Linked DNA regions of Macaca mulatta. The protein of the gene in region 1 interacts with the protein of each later gene in a pairwise test. Links are inferred from orthologs where the notes say so. Each region holds a gene or a part of one and is shown in the gene's direction. Other genes may lie near its edges.

Region 1 (5,930 bases):
TTTCTTGGAGGCTTCACACCCGCGCCCTCAGTCCTGCCATCTCCTACGCCGCAGCGGGCGCCGCCACCAGGGTAGTAACCCACTCTGAGAGTCTTTCTGGTGGTGCCTCTGACCCTCTGCTCTTCAGTTCCAGGCGACGTTTTCTCCGAGCCGCTCTGGAGACTTTGGCCTGAATTTCACCCTCACTCGCGGACTCATGTCCAAAAAATGTGGTCCAGCCCAGAAAGAGAGCCGCGCCTGTTGGTGGGGGTCGGGGGTGTTGGAGCGGCCACGGAATATGACTGAGCGCTCAGGGCCGGTTGTGAGGCCGGGGCCAGGATGCCCCAAGGCAAGGCGCTGTTCCTGCCCGGCACCAGCACACCTGCCCAGACAGGGAGAAGGTCAGAGCCTCCCCTCCAGCCCTTCCCGCTTTTATTGTTCGGAGCGACTTTAAAACGCAAATCGGGCCGGACGCAGTGGCTCACGCCTGTAATCCCAGCACTTTGGGAGGCCGAGGCGGGCGGATCATTTGAGCCCAGGAGTTCGAGATCCGTGTGGCCAACATAGTGAAACCCCGTCTCTACTAAAAATATGAAAATTAGCCGGGCGTGGTGGTGAGCATCTGTAGACCCAGCAACTCGGGAGGCCGAGGAAGGAGAATTGCTTGAATCCGGGAGGCGGAAGTTGCAGTGAGCCGAGATCGTACCACTGCACTCCAACCTGGGCGACAGAGGGAGACTCCATCTCAAAAAAAAAAAAAAAAAAAAAGGAAAATCGCACCAGCAGCTTGTTTGTAACAGTCAAACATAGGCAACAACCTAAATGTCCTTCAGTAAGGAGCTAGGTAGTGAAGAATGGTGAAGTGCACGATGGTGCGCAGTGTGCAGCGGATGGGAAGAACTAGGTCTGTTCGGGAGCGCTTCTATGGAAAGACCCTCCAAGATATAGTGAGTAAAAAAACATGTTGCAGAAAAGTACTGCAATATTGTTTTGTAAACAATACGTTTATGTAAACACACACACACACACACAGTATTGAAGAGAGATATTTTGGAAGGACACGCCTAAGAGTGGGCTGGGGGAGTGGAGAGAAGGGTGAATCTCAATTTTTATTCATTTTTTGAATTTTTTATTTTCAGTTTTTTAGAGACCGGGTCTCACTATGTTGCCCAGGCTAGTCTGGAAGCCCTGTCTTCAAGCCATCCTCCTGTCTTGGCCTTCCAAAGTGCTGTGAGATTACAGGTGTCAGCCACCACACATTAAAAAAAAAAAAAATTGCATACCTACCATATATGCATATATTACCTGTGTGACCTTTTAAAAATAAGCTTTTTTTTTTTAGAACGTCTTTAGATTTACAGAAAAAGTGTGAATACAGGGAGTTCTCATAAACCCGAGTTTTTCCTATTACTAACATCTTATATTGGTGTGGCGCTTTTGCCACAATGAATAAACCAAAACTGACGCACTAAAGTCCATATTTTATTCAGTTGTCCTTAGTTTCTACCTACTATCTGTCCAGGATCCCGTTCAGGATACCACTTTACATGTCATTTTTATATCTCCGTGGGTTCCTCTTGGCTGTGACAGTGTCTTACACTTTCCTTGTTTTTGATGACCTTGCTAGTTTTCAGGAGTACTGGTCATGTATATGGCAAGGGCCTCAATTGATTTGTGATGTTTTTCTCATGATTACAGTGGGATTAGGTGTTCTTGGGAGGAAGACCACAAGCGGTGCATGCAATCAGTATGATTTACCGCTGTCGAGGTCACCTTGACGGCTGGGTGGTTGGTCAGGTTTCTCCATGATAGTTACTGACCGCTCCCTTCCTCACATACTGTGCGTGACCTTCCCCCCTCCACCACCACTGAGTGTTGATATGAAAGAAATGTGTTTGACCTTTTCAGTGTAAAAAGTTTTCTTTACCTTAAAGAGAGTCACTAACGACGCACACGGGGCTGGAGAGGATTTAGGAAATGCCCACCCCTGCAGGAGGGCGAATGCGGCTCTGCGCTGCACCGGGCGCTGCAGGGGGTTAGGGGCGACAGAGGGACCTCCAGAGCCGGAGACGTCCTGGAGCAGCTGCGCAGCCGGAAGGGCGCTGCTGCTCGCGGGCCCGCCCTGCCCAAGCCTCATCTCGGGGCGGGGCCGCGCTCAGGCCTCGCCCCTTCCCTGCCCTTCCCCCGGCGCCTGGGGCAACCGCGCCCGCGGAGTTTTCCGCCCGGCAGGCTCCTCCTCCCGCCCCGCCCTGAAGGCTGCGGCGCCCGCGACTCCCCAGTGCCCCGAGTGCCCCGCGAGCGGGAGTGGGACACAGCGCCAGGCAGAACCCAGGCACCGCGTCCGGGACGCCCGCGGAGAGAGCCACTCCCGCCCAAGTCCCATTTCGCCCCTCGCGTCCCGAGTCCCCGTGGCCAGGTGAGTGAGGGTCCCGGGCCGGCCGGGGGCCTGGGACCAGGCGGCGGCAGTGCACCGCGGCACCGCAGGTGAGGCCCGGGGCTGCCCCGCGCCCAGCCCAGCGCGGCCCTGCTGCTTCCTGGTTGCATTACAGGCGTGGGGGTGGGGGACAGAGGAGGCGTCGGCGGGTCCCGGGCTGGCCGTGTCGGCTTGGCAGCCCCCTCAATAAGCTTCGGCGTCGGGGGCTGCCCCCTCCTGTGCGGTCGGGGTGCACTCGCCGGCCCCCCCGGGCTCAGGGGTCAGCGTCTCAGTCTGGGCTTGGGTAAGGCCGGGGGCCGTGACCCTGGGCGGAGGAGGCAACGGGTGGCTGGAGGGATGCCGGAGGCCGAGCCCCGCAGCCCCGCGGGGCCCTCCGGGGTGCGCGCGCTCTTTCAGGCAAGGCTGGGGGAGAGCAAGCAGACAAGGCTATCTTCAGGAACTTTCCTCCGTAACTGGGAGCACGCACATTCATGGGAGCTGCTACCATTGCAGTTTATTTGTAAGGAACTCTCCCCAATGTTTGAGAGAATGCGGGAGCCATCCCCGATGTTGTGCCTCCCTTCGCCCCTTCCCCAACTTTGATCCCCAGTTTCAGGAAGGGATTCCTGGACTTGTATCTCCCCATGGGTGCAGGCCAGGCCCTTAAGACTTAGAAAAGTAAAACGGTCTGTTGGTTTAAAGGAGACACGCGAAATTTGTCACCTAGAGACTTTGGAGGGGAAAAGTTAAGCCAGCCAGTGCTAGCCCAAGCTGGAAACAGTCGGCCCGGGGCATTTCTGTCTCTGCCCTCCAATCAGTGACCTCTCTGTAGAGATTGGGCGTTTGTGGTGGTTCTCCCATCTGTTCTCTGCCTTAGGCATGGAGTGGAGCTGTGAGGCCGAGCCCCTGCCCTGCCCACGCAACAGGGACTAAAGGTTTGCAGGGCATGCTCACCCTTCACTGGCTCTCTCATTGCTTTCCTCATTCCTTTTATGCGGCAGTCAACTGTTGGGGATTCCAGGAGGATTAACAGGCCCCCTTTCCTAAACGCATTCTTTGTGCTGCAAGGTGTTCCCTGACAAGGGAGGCCAGGTGAGGTGCCAGGGCAGTTTGTTGCCCTGGCATTGGGTGCCCACTACTTCAGGCTCCTGCATACCTTGCTATCTTGTCTCTGACTATTGTCTGTGCTTTGGTTTCCTCATCTGTAAAATGGGGGTAATACTAATCCCTGCCTCACAGGTTTGTTGTGAGATTCAGTGCATTCATTCATTTAATAACCATACAGCGCTCAGGTACGGACCAGTCAGAACAGGTGGTGACTGCTGTACCACACTTGTGTGTCCCAGATGGGTGTCACCCAGATTAGCCATAAAGTGTGTGAGGCAGGCCTGGGTCATAAATAATCAGGTATAAGGGTCAGTAAATAGTAGCAGTGGAAGGTTCAGCTAAAGTTGAAATGCGCTTCTCCTGAACCGTCTTTCTGGCTTAGCTCATGCTAAGCTCATGCTGTCTGTCTTCCTGGAATGCCCTCCCTCCCCGTCTGGCCCAGGATTCTCCACCCTCCTGGGAGCCATCCTGGTGCCTGCTGCCCAGCAGGAGGGATGGGATATGCTCTGAGCTCACTCAGCCCCTCCAGCACTGACTCAGTTCTCATCTCTCACCTTGTGCCTAGTGTTTGTGTGGCCATGTGGCTTATCTCTGCCCTGTCTTCTGACTCTGGAGGGTGGAGGCTGTTTCTGACTTACCTCTTGGTGGTAGCACTCAGGATGGGCCTTGCCTAATGTAGGTGCTCAGAAAATTAGTTGTCGTTAGTTGAACGACAGAGGCAGCACAGGGAAGTAGTTTCCCTGTGGTTAAAGTATAGGACCTTGAAGGCTGGATTTGGATAGGCAGAGAAATGTGGGGAGGGTGAGATGGTGATGAATTGGGACTAAGAGGTGGGAGTGGAAGCCCCATCTGATGCCTTTATGCATGATATTATAGAAAGGGCTCACCCTGGGTGGACGTATCTAGAAGGCCAGGATCGATTAGTGATGCCTAGTTCACATGATTGGGGAGGTGATGTGTGACTTGGGATGACAGGAGTGGGAGTTGAGACAGAATAGGTTAGTGTGGGTTCTTCTTGGGAACTGTAGAATAGAGAAAAGAAACTGGTGTGGGCAGGAGGTGAATGTGGAACCAAAATGCATGCTGAATGCTGGAACATCAGAGGTTCCAGGACCTTTCTGGTGCACCCCCTCCTTCCTCCTGGATTCACTCCTCCTCTTCCTCTTTTTTTAATTTTTATTTTTTGTTGAGACAGATCTCATTCTGTCGCCCAGGCTGGAGTGCAGTGGTACAGTCTTGGCTCACTGCAACCTCTGCTCCCTGGGTTTAAATGATTCTCCTCCCTCGGCCTCCTGAGTAGCTGGGATTACAGGCATGCGCCACCGTGCCCGGCTAATTTTTGTATTTTTAGTAGAGACGGGGCTTCACCATGTTGGCCAGGCTGGTCTTAAACTCCTGACCTCAGATGATCTGCCCGCCTTAGCCTTCCAAAGTGCTGGGATTACAGGAGTGAGTCACCGTGCCCGGCCTCCTCTCTCTTCTTTGCCACCGTCTTCCCCCATAAGCCTGAAGCAGTTCCTGGCACTTGGTCCCATGGGGAAGCGTGTGTGCAAGGGTGTGCTTCACCAGCACTGCCAAGGAAACAGACTTTTCACTTTCTGTGGATTTTTCTCTGCAGCACTCTCTGATCCCATGACCCCCAGAATAGTGGGAATTCTGAGTGATACCTAGATAGGAAAGCTGTTAGGATTAATGAAGAAACTGAGGTTTTCTTGGTGGGCATTTGTGCTTTTAAAGGGAATTGTTGCAATTCAGTGGAACTCTCTGATAACCGCTGAAACTGTTACACATTAGGCCTACTGATCCTGTCTCCTATAACCCATGAAATAAAGACCTGATAGTCACATAGTTGTTTGTTATTTGGGAGGATCCTAAAAGTACAGCCTGAACAGTGACCCAGACCACAGTTGGCCTTGCCCATGCTGAAGTGAGGAAGGAATGGGTGGGGGCAACCAAGAAATTGGGGGACAGAGTTCTCTGTGCTGGGTATCCTGGGACAAGCCACCCAGCCACACTGAGCCCCCCCCACACAGAACAGTTCTGGATAATAAAATGCCTGCCTGGAATGGAGAATCAGATGAGAAGATGTTTGCAAAGGGGTTTGAGATCAGTTAGGGGGTAGTGATGACAATGTTGATATCGTGGGTGTGTGACTGCCAGGAGTTGTGAAGCAGCGGGTGGAGCATGCCGTCAAAGCCTGGTTCTGAGATCTCTAGTTTTCCAGGGGCTTAGGCTCCGCCTTAGCAGAAAAGAAGGAAAGGAAATTGAGAGGGAAGTCAGATGTCCCCTGCCCCTCACACCTGGGGGTGGCTGACTTGGAGGACTTGAGATGGGGGGAAATCTGAGTGAGGGCAGAGAGGAGAAATGTGGAGGCTACCCACGGGGAGGCTGGAGAGCATATGGCACATCCAGCCTGGGGAGTGGCACCGCT
Region 2 (4,265 bases), on another chromosome or scaffold:
ACTGTGCACTTGTCTTAGTCACAGTTTTGCTAAGCCCACAAGCTAAGCCTAGCCTAGCCAAAGTGAGTGAAAAACAAACATTACTGGACAGCTTCTTTGAAAATGGGGAAAACCCAATGATGAGACAACAGAAGACTCTAAAACTGCTAACAAAAATAAAGCCACATTTAAAGGAAAATGCCAAGAGTCCTACTTAAATTACAGGTTCACTGCAACAGGTGGTTCACATTCTCCAACCCTGCTTTGTATAATATGTGATGATCGACTATGCAATGAAGCCTCGAAACCTGCAAAACTGCTTTGCCACATGGAGACCAAGCACCCTGCGTTAAAAGACAAGCCTTTGGAGTTTTTTTGTTTTGTTAAAACAAACAAACAAACAAACAAAAAAACAGAAACCATGAAAACATGAACACAAAGAACACATAGAAGCAATTATTGAAGGCCACCACGTCATCAAATGTGTCTGCACTGACAGCATCAGTATATATTACAATGTAACAATAATAGAAATAAAGTGCACAATACATACAATATGCTTGAATCATCCTGAAACCGTCTGCCACTCGACCCTGGTCCATGGAAAAATCCTCTTCCGTGAAACTGGTCCCTGGTGCCAAAAAGGTTGGGGACCACCGGTTTATCCAGGGTCATCCAGGTTGGAGTAGGGTCAGGAGATATGGGGAAATTTAGGTCAAAGAATTCAAAGTTACAAACATGTAGGATGAACAAATGGGAAGACCTAATGTACAACATGAGGGCTATAGTTAATGATCGTGGTATTCAGGATTTATGCTAAATGAGTAAATTAGAGCTGCTCTTGCCCCAAGGGGGGAAATGTGTAATTATAGGAGTTGATGGATATGTCATACGCATAACTTAAATACAGACAATAAAAACTATTTTAGTTTAAAAAGGAACAATATTTATTAAAAAATAAGGTGAGCTCTTAAAAACATTTAAATAACTGCCTAAAAAAATAAAAAATAATATCACATAATTTAATAGAAGGAAAGAAAGAGCAAGACAGCAAGAAAGAAAAGGCACCATAAAAAAAAACAATTTTGACCACTCCTCATTTGTAGTCTAAGCTGCCTCTGCTTCCTTGCGTTGAAAAGCCACGGGCTTCCGAGGGATGGAGGTCAAAGTCAGAGTAAAGAAAGTTCCCGGGGGAGGCCACTCCCCAGCTGATGACTTTCCAGTTCCAGTTAGTGACAGAGTCCCAGTTCCTCTCCTTAACCACCGGTCAAAAGTCTCTGGAGTCTCTCCAATGAGCAAGAAAGCAAGTCGGGGGTAGGGGAGGGGCCTCACAACTGGTGGTGGGTGCAGTCCCTCCTCCAGCTTCTTCATCCTGCAATAGTCCCGCGGGTCCCCCGGCGCGAACGCGGGAACCAGGAAAAGGAAACCGCGTTGTGTACGTAAGATCCAGGAAACTAAACCAGTAGCCGCGGCTGTTGGCGCAAGGGTTACTCGCAGACCCTGTTCCGGCTGATTTCCGAGAAGGTTGCGCAGTAGCCGTGCCTTGCAGTCTAGAGGCGCAGGAGAGGAAGCCACCGCCTGACCCCGGCTCTCTAGACCTCGGCTCTCTCGGGAGCGGAAACAGCGGCAGCCACAGGTGCGCGAGCGGCTTTCTCTGCCGCCTCCCCGGGGCTCGGGCGCGAGAACTGCGCGGAGCCTGCGCTGGGGCCAGGGCCGGGATCAGGTGTGGGGGCCAACTTACGGGGAACGGGCGCGAGGGCCAGCCGGTTGTGTTTGCTGCTCTGGGGGTGGAGGATGTGGGGTGAAGGCTGGGGCCAGAAATGCAAGAGACCTCTGAAAGGGACCCTGTAAGTGGAGCAGATGCACGGCAAGGGGCCCCAGGCGGCCCAGCGGCACCTGGGCTCACCCAGAATCATTCGAATGAAAAGGGGTGTCCTGCCTGAAAACGCCTCGCGGGGCTCGGCTTCCCCTTAGCTACACTGCTCTACAGGCAGAGAGCGGCGCTGAATCCTGGGCAGAGACTGGGCTCGGGAGCATGTGCCAGCATAGTGGGGCTATTAGAAGGGACGGTTAATACAGCCTGCAAGCTGGCATTTATCAGTAAGTATTCACTGAAGTCCGCCTGGAGCCCACATCTATGCTAAACCCTCTACAATACTAGCTTGGAAAAGATAGCGGCGGTATCTAGCACGGTTCCTAAGACCATTAGCTCCAGTCAGGCTCCCCGACTTGAAATTTGGCCTCTACTGCTTCACATCTGTGGATTGTCAGCCACTTTCTTAATATATATTCTTTCCATTGCCTCATCTCTGAAATTGTGTAACTATTAAAAGAGCTACAGAGTATTATATGTGTTAATGTAAAGTTCTTAGAGCAGTGCCTGGCACTACAGAAAGTACTCAGTGAAAGTGAGCTTTTATTATTTTAAATATTTGACAAAGTTCCTGCTTCTCCAAGCTGACTCTCCGGTTCCCATGTGGTTTCATTCATGCACTGTTATTCCTGGAAGTCTTGGCATGGCCACTTCCCAGTTCCAGGAACAGGCAGTCGTTGTTTTTTTTCTGGCTTATCACATTGAGATACATGGTTACTACAAGTGACACTTAAACGTGTCAGGCAGTTTGGGGCCTCCTTTCTTGAACTTTTCCTAAGAGCAAACTTTTCCCTTAATGCCACCCTGTTTACAACCATAGTAGGGCTTTGAACAACGAGAAAATGCAGGGAAATGAAAGACATATAAAGGGAAATGAATGGATTTCTGCAGTTGGATAGCAAAGTGGCATGTGAAATAGCTGGTTTATAGATCAAACTGCCTTTAGATCTGTAAAGGAGCTTAGAGTACAGGTGGAGAGACATCAAATGTGTGCGAGCAGACGCTTATGTACCTCTCCGTCTTCATCTCTAAGAATGTCTCCCTCTTCTGCTCTGTAACCTCACTGGTCTTCCTTTCCTTGAATGAGGCATGTTCCTCCAGCTCAGGAATTCTATCTATGAAGTTCCCTGTCTCTATAATGCCCTCCAACACCCCACCCACCATACCTCCGTAGACTAGTTGATTTGAGATTTCCTTCAGCTCCCAGTCTGACTTTTCTTAAACCCCCTACCACTGTTTAAGTTAGTGTCCTGTAACCCTTTCTTGTAGCAACATTAATTTTATTGATAGCACTTAGAGTGTTTATAATAATCTATTACATTCTTAATTGTCTGTCTCCCTAGTGTCTAGGTATTGTGCTCTAGTGCCTGGTATAGTGCTTTGCATGCTCTATGCCTTCAATTAATTCCTTAAAAACCACACCAGCTTTATATTTAGTGAATATTTATATAGGAAGTATTTCTATATGTATATATGTGTATCTGTGTATATACACACTCTATAGCACTACCCTGAATAGTGCTAAATTAAAAAGCCAAAACACTTTTTAGTTAATCAGAACTAACAGTTGCACTCTTCAGTTTTCCATATGTTCTTTTAATAAGTCATTAGAAAAAAATGATGTCTCCATATGTTGTCTGCTGCTGTAGCAGAATACCTGAGACTTGGTAATTTATAAAGGACAGAAATTTATTTCTTACAGTTCTGGAGACTAGGAAGTCCAACATAATCATGTGTTGCTTAAAGACAGGAATACATTCTGAGAAATGCATCATGAGGCAATTTGGTGGTTGTGAGAACATCATAGAATTTACTTACACAATCCTGGATGGTATAGCCAGCCTTCTATTTAGGCTGGGGTGGTGGCGTGGGGGGTGTTGAGGAGAGTCAGATTGAGAGCTGAAGGAAGTCTCAAATCAATTAGTCTATAGACGTGTGTGTGTGTGTGTGTGTGTGTGTGTGTGTGTGTAGTGGTGGAGGGCATTATAGACAGAGGGAACTTCACAGGTAGAAGTCCTGGGCTGGGTGTGTGTGTGTGTGTGTGTGTGTGTGTGTGTGTGTAGTGGTGGAGGGCATTATAGACAGAGGGAACTTCACAGGTAGAAGTCCTGGGCTGGGTGTGTGTGTGTGTGTGTGTGTGTGTGTGTGTGTGTGTGTGTGTGTAGTGGTGGAGGGCATTATAGACAGAGGGAACTTCACAGGTAGAAGTCCTGGGCTGGGGGTGTGTGTGTGTGTGTGTGTGTGTGTGTGTGTGTGTGTGTGTAGTGGTGGAGGGCATTATAGACAGAGGGAACTTCACAGGTAGAAGTCCTGGGCTGGGGGTGTGTGTGTGTGTGTGTGTGTGTGTGTGTGTGTGTGTGTAGTGGTGGAGGGCATTATAGACAGAGGGAACTTCACAGGTAGAAGTCCTGGG
Region 3 (4,051 bases), on another chromosome or scaffold:
AACCACTCATAGACTGCTAAGTGTTCAAATAAGGCAAACGCCAACCTGTAACCAATCCAGCTGTTTCTGTACTTGACTCCCGATTTCTGTACCTCATTTCCCTTTTTCTGTCTAAAATCTTCCACCACATGGCTGTGCTGGAGTCTCTGTGAATCTGCTGTGATTCTGGGGGCTGCCCAGTTTGTGAAATCATTCGTTGCTCAATTAAACTCCTTTAAATTTAATTCAGCTTAAGTTTTTCTCTTATAACTGGTAAACAACTGGAGACCAGGTAGGGTATAAATGCTTTATTTATCGGCTTAGTCTCCACCTTCGAAGTGACAAAGATTCTCTGCTTGGCCAAACTTCAGGCTCCTGAGCCTTCTCCTAGGCCCATCTGTGCATCTTCTTGTAAAACTCAGTTTCAGCAAAGAACCTTGTTAAGTCAGTATAGTAAGAATCCCTCACCCTTGATCAGGTTCCTCATCCTCCACCACCCCCAGGTGATGTCTGTTATCCTGGCCTGTCTTCATCTAGAATCCTGTTGTGTTGGTTTAGCCAGAATCTCCCTTGTCCCTGACATTTCCTCTTAGTAATTTTCCATCCACTGACCGACTCCCACCCCTTGGCTATAAATTCCCACTTATACTGTATTTCTATTTGAACAGGTAAAGGAGAAGGGAAGAGTACGTAGTGCACACTCAAATGCCTTATCCTCCAAAAATCACTCAGGAATCATTAGCCTTAATTTCCCAGCTTTTGTCCTTTACACAGTCACAGATTTGTCTTGGCTTATAAACGCTGTCGGTCTTCCCTGCTGAATTGGAAACTCCTTGCTCACAAAATGATTCACCCCCATTCCTAGAACGGGGCTTGGCAAAGCGTAGGCTCCCAGTAATGAATGAATAGATTTGTGGAAGAAAAGGTTTTTATTTCATCTGTTACTACAATGGTCAACAACAACGACAAAAACCACTTAAAGTTGGACAGACCTGCAACCGGCTCTCAAAAAGTCTAGAACAGCGCACTACGCCCCGCCCATTGGCGAGAAACGGAAATACATGCTTTCCAGAAAACCGGAAGTGCCTGGTCACGCCCCGCGCATGCGTGAATCGGCGCAGCTCACGCTTCCTACAGCCCATCATCCAGCGAGAAAGCAGGGAGTCTTCGGTAGAGGCAGCCGGGACCGAGGCAGCCGGGACCCAGCCAGCCCTGAGCCTGGCGCATGCGTCCTGGTGTGTCCACGCGCAGTAAGGAGGGGCGAAAGGGCTTTTTTTTTTTCTTGCTCCCGCCTCTCTTCTTCCCCCACCTGCCACGTACAGAGCCCGAGTTCTCGCTAGGCTTGTTGGGTCAACGCGATTGGCCGAGGCCCGCGTGAGCCTGCGAGCGAGGTGCGGCGGTCGCGGAGGGCAACGGAGCGGGCAGTGACCACCGCCTCCCCGCGACGCGCCAGTCCAGTGGCCTCGCGTCGGCCCATTCAGCTGAGACCTGCGGCGAGGCGGCGGCGCGGCCTCCGCAAGCCGGTATGGCCACTGGAGACGGGGGTTGCGGCCGCTCTCTCCGAGGAGGCCGGGAGACGAGGAGGCGCTGTGAAGGCCTCGCTCGAACCGCCCGGCGACTGGGGTCGGAGGCGCTGGGGAAGGGGCTGGAGGGAGGAGGGGGTGGGGGGAGGACGGAGCCGGAGGCAGGAAGGGCGGGGCTTTGCATAGGGGGAAGGGAAAGGAGGTCGCGGAGGGGGAGGGCAGAGAGGCAACCCCTGGCCGCGCTGGCCAGGAGGCGCGTCTCGGGGGCTCCGGGAGGCGAGTGGGCCAGTTAATTCCTTGGTGCAGCCTGCCTCAAAGGTTTTGGATTGAGAGGAGAGGGCCTTTGGGAGGTCTGGGTTGGCCGGCGCCCAGTACCCGAAGGCGCTCGGAAGGGTGCGGAGTGGCGCCTACGGGAATAAGTTGATTGGGGTCACTGAATTGGAGCCTGGTTCCTTGGCTAAGTCAACGCTTAAGCGCCAGCTGGAGGCCCAACCTGGTTTTATAGTGATGATTCTAGCTAATTTTAAGAGTTTGCTTTGCTGGACACTAAAGTATTTGAGATGCAGTGTCTCATTTAATCATCACAAGGATGCCTCCAAATTCAGATATTGTTATTTTCATTTGGAATATGTTGAAAGTGAGCCTTCGAGGACTTAAGATCACATCGCTGGTAGTGGGAATCTTGACCGTCTTGCTACACTGCCTCTGAGGCAGGGTTTGAGGCCTGTTGCCTTGTTTAGAATAATTACAGGTTGACTTGACTTAGTATTTCTTGAAGGAAACTGCTCCCCTCAGGAGGTGCCTAAGCCACAGCCTCTGAAATTGAGCAGGGTCTTACCCTTACAGATAGCAGAACCAGAAGTATGGCCACTGAACCTAGATCCTGGTTCAGGAGGAAGGCTTTTTATATGACCTTGAGCATGTCAGATTATTCCCAGTGCTGAGAAAAGCGTTCCTGTTGGAGGGTTATATTATACAAGTTAGAGGCCGAGACATTTCTGGACTTCAGAGGGGCCGGGGCAGGGACAAGATGGGAGAAGAGCTTGTTGTAGGGCTCCTACTGGCAGTTCTAGGAGCTAGTTGTTAATACCAGTCTCTACTTTGGAAGAGAAAACGAGTACCAGAATTCTGTATATGAAGTAATGTTGGGATGGGATTTCCCCTTGAGAGGAAACTTTTGTTGCACACTTACTTTTGAGATACTTTTGTGTTTACTCTGGGGAGATGACTGCACGAGCTAACAACAGCTTTAGGAAAGAAGCACTGGTTCCTGGCCACAAGATATTTACAGTCAGTGGGAAACACAAAAAGTGAATTTGCATGCAAACACATGGAAGATAGAAAGTATACCTGACTCAATTTTTTTTTTTTTTTTTGAGACGGAGTCTCAGGTTGGTGTGCAGTGGCGTGATTCCCCCGGCTCACTGCAACCTCCGCCTCCCGGTTTCGAGCGATTCTCCTTCCTCAGCCTCCTGAATATCTGGAATTACAGGCGCGCACCACCACGCCTGGCTAATTTTTGTATTTTTAATAGAGACGGAGTTTCACCATGTTGATCGTCTGGTCTTGAACTCCTGACCTTGTGATCCGCCCGCCTCGGCCTCCCAAAGTGCTGGGATTACAGGTGTGAGCCACCGCGCCCGGCCTTCAAATTTTAAATCCATTGAAATTGGGCAACAAACCCGTACCCCAGTCAGAAGGACATACCATCAATTATATTCAAAGCTGGAATTTTTTCTTAATTAGGCATGTGTCTGACGGAAGTCACTTCTAGCTCCATAAAGAAGGTATAGTGTGAGGATCGGATGTAAAAACTGATCTATATGACAGCTTTCTTCTCCCATACTTCAAAAAATTTAAAGTCTTTAAATACTATATGTCAGGCACTTTTCTAGGTGCTGCTGGGAATAGATAATACCAGCTTACTGAAGCTAAGCACTGGGTCCTTTTACATTATTCCTGGTTTACACTTCTTGTAGAAAGGAGAAGGTAACAAATACATTGATTTTTTGAAAGATCTTTATTACTCTTAGGCTGCAAAGCAAACAAGATGGAATATTTACCATCTTGGTGAAATAATTATACTTTAGAGCTTGGCACATAGTAGGTATTTAGAAGTAATTCCTGAATGCAGAAGGCATTGCAGAAGGCGAAGAGTTGATTGTATGGAGATTTCTGTTAATCACTGTCTTCATGAGAAGTCCATTGTAAGAACTGGCAGATAAAAAACTAACTGTATTCTTACTTTGCGTTAAGATAAGCATGGCATCTCTAGAGTGGAATGCAGTTCACTCTATTCTGCATTGACCTTAAAGTGTTATATTTAGTTTTAATGACCCATTTCATTGAAGATTTATTAATAAAATATCTGTTCAGAGCATGGTGAGGGGTCTAGAGATACTAATTTAAGGACTAGTTAGGTGAAAGGACGAAGGGTATTTATATGAAGAATAGTAGGGCATTAATATATAATATTCATATAATAGGATTCATGGAAACTTTTTTCAAGTACTTGAAGGGTTGATCTGCTGGGGGAGTAGGTGAGTGCT
Region 4 (4,130 bases), on another chromosome or scaffold:
AGAGACAACACTTGGAGCTACAAGGATGAAAAGAGCATTAGTGGAATGAGGCACTGAAGAACCTGAAAAGCTGGAAAAACCCCACGAAATAATGAGAATAATTGTAGTATCCTGAACCAGGGCACAGGACATAGGACACAGGACACAGGACTGGGGTGGAAGGCGGCAAAGATCCAGGGATCATAGTGGCCCAAAGCTGGGCACTTCCCAATTCCGGGGATTGGTGCTACAGGCACTCCAGGCTCCACCGCAGAACCGTGTCCAGCACGGAGGCAGTGCTGTCTCGGGGGAGACAGGGCTGCACCACCACCAAGGGGCGGGAAGGGACCGGGCAGGGAGGCGCCCAGTGTTGCCAGCTGCACGGCGTCGGGGGCGGCGCTGAGGCAGAGCGCGGGGGCGCAGGTTAAACCTAAAGGAGTTTCGCTCTTGTTGCCCAGGCCTGGAGTGCAACGGCCTGATCTCCGCTCACTGCAACCTCCGCCTCCCGGCTTCAAGCAGTTCTCCTGCCTCAGCCTCCCGAATAGCTGGGAATAGGCGTGCGCCACCACCCCCGGCTAATTTTGTATATTTAGTAGATACGGGGTTTCTCCATATTGGTCAGGCTGGTCTCGAACTCCCGACTTCAGGTGATCCACCGGCCTCGACCTCCCAAAGTCCTGGGATTACAGGCGTCAGACACTGCGCACGGCCTGCTTTTTTTTTTTTTTTTTTTTTTTTTGGCAGAGTCTGGCTGTCCACCGGGCTGGAGTGCAGTGATCTCGGCTCCCTGCGGCCTCGACTTCCCGGGCTCAGGCGATCCTCCCGCCTCTGCCCATGGAGTAGATGGGACCACAGGGGCCCGCCACCACGCCCGACTATTTTCTGCAATTTTTGTAGGGATGGAGTCTGGCCACGCTGCCCAGGCTGGTCCGAACTGGTGGGCTCAGGAGCTCCGCCCGCCTCCGCCTCCCAAAGCGCAGGGATCACAGGCGTGAGCTACCGCGCCCCGCCCAGAGTTTCCGACTGTTAGCCTGAATCACATTCACGTCAAAACTTCTTTTTATACATGAACTGAAAGGCTAACTAACTCCCTACTCCATCACTTCCCGTCCCGGGTCGCAGAGCCGGACATTTTCTCCAAGCGCCTTCCCAGCACCGGTAGCCGGCTGCCTGCTCCAGAGCTCTGGCTTTCTCCAGACGCCCCGGACCGCACAGGCCCCGCAGGCGCCAGGGCGTTGCTTGGTAACTGAGCTGCGAGGGGATTGGCCGCGCGGGACCCCGTGACCATCCCGGAGACTACGCATTTCCTGCGCCCCCGGAAGTGGAGGTAACGCCAGGCCCTGCCCCCGGCAGAGCCGGAAGCGGAGTCGCCCTGAGAGGTCTCACGTCTCAGTAGACGCCTCAGCCCAGCCGCGCGCCTTGGCCCATGGCCGCCTACTCCTACCGCCCCGGCCCCGGGGCCGGCCCAGGGCCTGCTGCGGGCGCGGCGCTGCCGGACCAGAGCTTTCTGTGGAACGTCTTCCAGAGGTGCGGCCTGGCACCGTCCCAGCACCTCCCGCCTCCGCTGCGGCCGCCCCCGACTCCTGCCCCCACCGCCGCGGACCCGGTTCACTGCCGGTTCCCCCGCGGCCTCCTCTGTCCCCTGTCGGGTCCTCCGCGGCCTCCCCGGTCCCCTGCCCCGACCGCCGCGGCCTCCCCCGTCCCCTGCCCCGACCCCTGCGGCCGCACCCGTCCCCTGCCGGGTCCCCTGCGGTCTCCCCGGTCCCCTGTGGGTCCCCTGCGGCCGTCCCCGTCCCCTGTGGGTCTCCCGCGGCCGCCCCCGCCTCCTGCCCGGTCCCTGCCCTGTGCGTTGGGCCCTTCCAGAGGTGCAGAGTAGCCGCTGCAGACCCGAGGTCGCGGCCACCGGCTCCCGGGCTAGGCCCTTTTTCTCGCCTCAGGAGCCGCCGGGCGGAGGGTCTCCAGGGGTGCTTGTTCGGGGAAAGCAGAGACAGAATGTCTGGGCGCTGTTAAGTGTCAGCAGCCGAGGAAGCAGCAGCGACCTGGCGTCTGCTCGGGGCAGGTGACCTTTCCGGCGTCGCCTTCTGTCCCGGTCGCTTTTCCACGGAATGAATGACCGAAACTGCAGTGACTCATGGCCAGGGAATGCCTTAGTTATCTGAGGGAATCTTGTTTGTGAAAAAGGGAAACTGGTGCAAATGTGAATTCAGACAGGCCAGGAGAGGAAGGAAGGGAAAGATTGAGAGAGAAAGATGATTGGCCTCTTAGGGGAAGACCCCGCTTGGACGTGGGCTCCTGCGGCACTTCCTTGATTCCCGTGTCCTCCTCAGCGGGATGGGGGAGGCGGAGGTTCCAGGAGGCTCCGAGCCTTCCAGAGTCAGTGCAGGGTTGACAGGAGACGTTTGTTTTGCTTTTCCTGAACTTTGGATCGCCAGCTTACTTGGTCTTCTTGATGTTGTAGGGTTGATAAAGACAGGAGTGGAGTGATATCGGACACCGAGCTTCAGCAAGCTCTCTCCAACGGTGAGTGGGCCCGTGGGACCTGGGTCGGGACCCAGAAGCCGCTGAGTGGGCCCGTGGGACCTGGGTCCGGACCCAGAAGCCGCTGAGTGGGCCCGTGGGACCTGGGTCCGGACCCAGAAGCCGCTGAGTGGGCCCGTGGGACCTGGGTCCGGACCCAGAAGCCTGCTCTGCTCGCAGTGGATAACTTTCTTTCTGAAGTTCATTTTCCAAGGACAAAGGGATCATTAGGACAAACTATTATTACTGCTTCATGGTGGAGATGCTTCTGGTTTCTGTTGTGGCTGCCGCTGTTATTTGGAGTGCCTCACCAAGCCGGCTGACAACTGCGTGCATGAGCACAGGGAAAGGCTTCTTGTGAAATGAAAACTAGGTTGTAGGTTTAGGAGGGGAATAGGAAGCTTAGCTCTGTACAGCCGGAAGCCTTTTGGTAAGTTGGAGGTCCTTGAATTTCCTCGGTGACTGCATCTTGGTGACTTCTCTGAATAGACCTTCGAGGGCCTTGGGGGGTGGTGGTTGGAGGGCTTGGGGAGCTCAGGCAGCACTTGTGTGGGGAAGTGGCTGTTACAGGAGCCGCAAACACGGGGACTGCATTCCTGGGGAAAGGATTGGGGGTGTTGGAGGCGCTGGCAGGGGAATTATGGGGAGGTGTTCTTATCAGTGTGCGAATACTGGACGTTCAGGCGGCGGGAAATCCGGGTCCTTGGGTGTTGTGAGCTCCCTGCAGTTAGTTCTTGCCAGTTTCAGCTCAATTGATCCCCGTCCCCTGCGGTATCATTGGACACATTTTACTTCATTGAACACCTGACTGCAGCTTTTTCTGTAATCCCTCAGGGGCAGTCATCTTTTCCGATTCTGTGTATAGTTTCCCTTTCCAGATCCGTGCCATTTAAGCTAGAAAAGGGGTCGGTTTTGAGATGTTGTGAAAATGTTAAAAGGCTCCTCGTTATTAGTGGGAAGTACCTGATGTTGCCAGAGACTGGACTGGGGCGCGGGGAGCACTACGGCTGCTGGACACTGCCTCACTGCGCTGTGCCTGGGGGGATGCTTCATTCAGCCTTACTGCCTAATGATTTGTGAGGATTTGTGTTTTCACAGTAACATGTTTACCTTATATTCTGACATCAGTTCCTGATACGTGACGTGTGGGCCACAGATGCTGGTGTATTATTTCACATGCATTTATATAGATTGTTTTCAGGGAATTCAGAAATTCTATTATCGGCACTAGTGATTGTGCTTTCTTGATTTTTCTCTTTTCATTATTCTTAAATCCTCCTTTTTTAAATTTGCATCTCGGTTCCTTTATACTTGGGAAGTGCAAGACATGGCTACTGGAAAAAGATGTCAAGAGAACCTGGAATCCAGTAGGCTACAATTTGGCAAATCTTAGCTTAAAACGTCCTCAATGTTGACCACAGTGGGTGCAGATGGCTCTGTGCATCATCTGTGAAATGTCATCAGATGACCACCCAGGTTCAAGTGGTTTGTCACCAGGGTGGTACGAGCCACACAGAGTGCCCTCCCCAGAGGCCATGTCGCGGAGACATTTATTTTGAGTGGTTTTCCAGTGAGTGATGCAAGATTTATGATCCATTTTAACAGCCTGCTTTTTATGCGTTTGCTCAGGTTTT

What was found. The genes of interacting proteins can lie anywhere in the genome.
Region 2: the proteins of ANXA11 (region 1) and PLSCR1 interact in a two-hybrid assay, tested with the Homo sapiens proteins (2 studies listed by BioGRID and IntAct). The two-hybrid records come from large-scale screens. The link is inferred for Macaca mulatta from reciprocal best matches to the Homo sapiens genes ANXA11 and PLSCR1.
Region 3: the proteins of ANXA11 (region 1) and TFG interact in binary tests that used the Homo sapiens proteins (3 or more experiments, as listed by UniProt). The two-hybrid records come from large-scale screens. The link is inferred for Macaca mulatta from reciprocal best matches to the Homo sapiens genes ANXA11 and TFG.
Region 4: the proteins of ANXA11 (region 1) and PDCD6 interact in binary tests that used the Homo sapiens proteins (3 or more experiments, as listed by UniProt). The link is inferred for Macaca mulatta from reciprocal best matches to the Homo sapiens genes ANXA11 and PDCD6.

Annotation. Positions count from the first base shown.
Region 1 is NC_133414.1:69,791,467-69,797,396, forward strand, and holds the start of ANXA11 (annexin A11), read left to right. Parts: upstream 1-2,256; 5' UTR 2,257-2,395; exon of another isoform or gene 2,396-2,463; intron 2,464-2,520; exon of another isoform or gene 2,521-2,696; intron 2,697-5,930. UniProt on the Homo sapiens protein: Binds specifically to calcyclin in a calcium-dependent manner. Required for midbody formation and completion of the terminal phase of cytokinesis.
Region 2 is NC_133407.1:49,526,796-49,531,060, reverse strand, and holds the start of PLSCR1 (phospholipid scramblase 1), read left to right. Parts: upstream 1-1,465; 5' UTR 1,466-1,615; intron 1,616-4,265. UniProt on the Homo sapiens protein: Catalyzes calcium-induced ATP-independent rapid bidirectional and non-specific movement of phospholipids (lipid scrambling or lipid flip-flop) between the inner and outer leaflet of the plasma membrane resulting in collapse of the phospholipid asymmetry which leads to phosphatidylserine externalization on the cell surface.
Region 3 is NC_133407.1:182,895,446-182,899,496, reverse strand, and holds the start of TFG (protein TFG), read left to right. Parts: upstream 1-1,251; 5' UTR 1,252-1,502; exon of another isoform or gene 1,503-1,593; intron 1,594-1,682; exon of another isoform or gene 1,683-2,053; intron 2,054-4,051. UniProt on the Homo sapiens protein: Plays a role in the normal dynamic function of the endoplasmic reticulum (ER) and its associated microtubules. Required for secretory cargo traffic from the endoplasmic reticulum to the Golgi apparatus.
Region 4 is NC_133411.1:1,373,055-1,377,184, forward strand, and holds the start of PDCD6 (programmed cell death protein 6), read left to right. Parts: upstream 1-1,330; 5' UTR 1,331-1,405; coding exon 1,406-1,506; intron 1,507-2,437; coding exon 2,438-2,499; intron 2,500-2,610; exon of another isoform or gene 2,611-2,749; coding exon of another isoform or gene 2,750-2,826; intron 2,827-4,130. Other genes in the region: ubiquitin domain-containing protein TINCR-like, read left to right, coding at 2,750-2,826. UniProt on the Homo sapiens protein: Calcium sensor that plays a key role in processes such as endoplasmic reticulum (ER)-Golgi vesicular transport, endosomal biogenesis or membrane repair.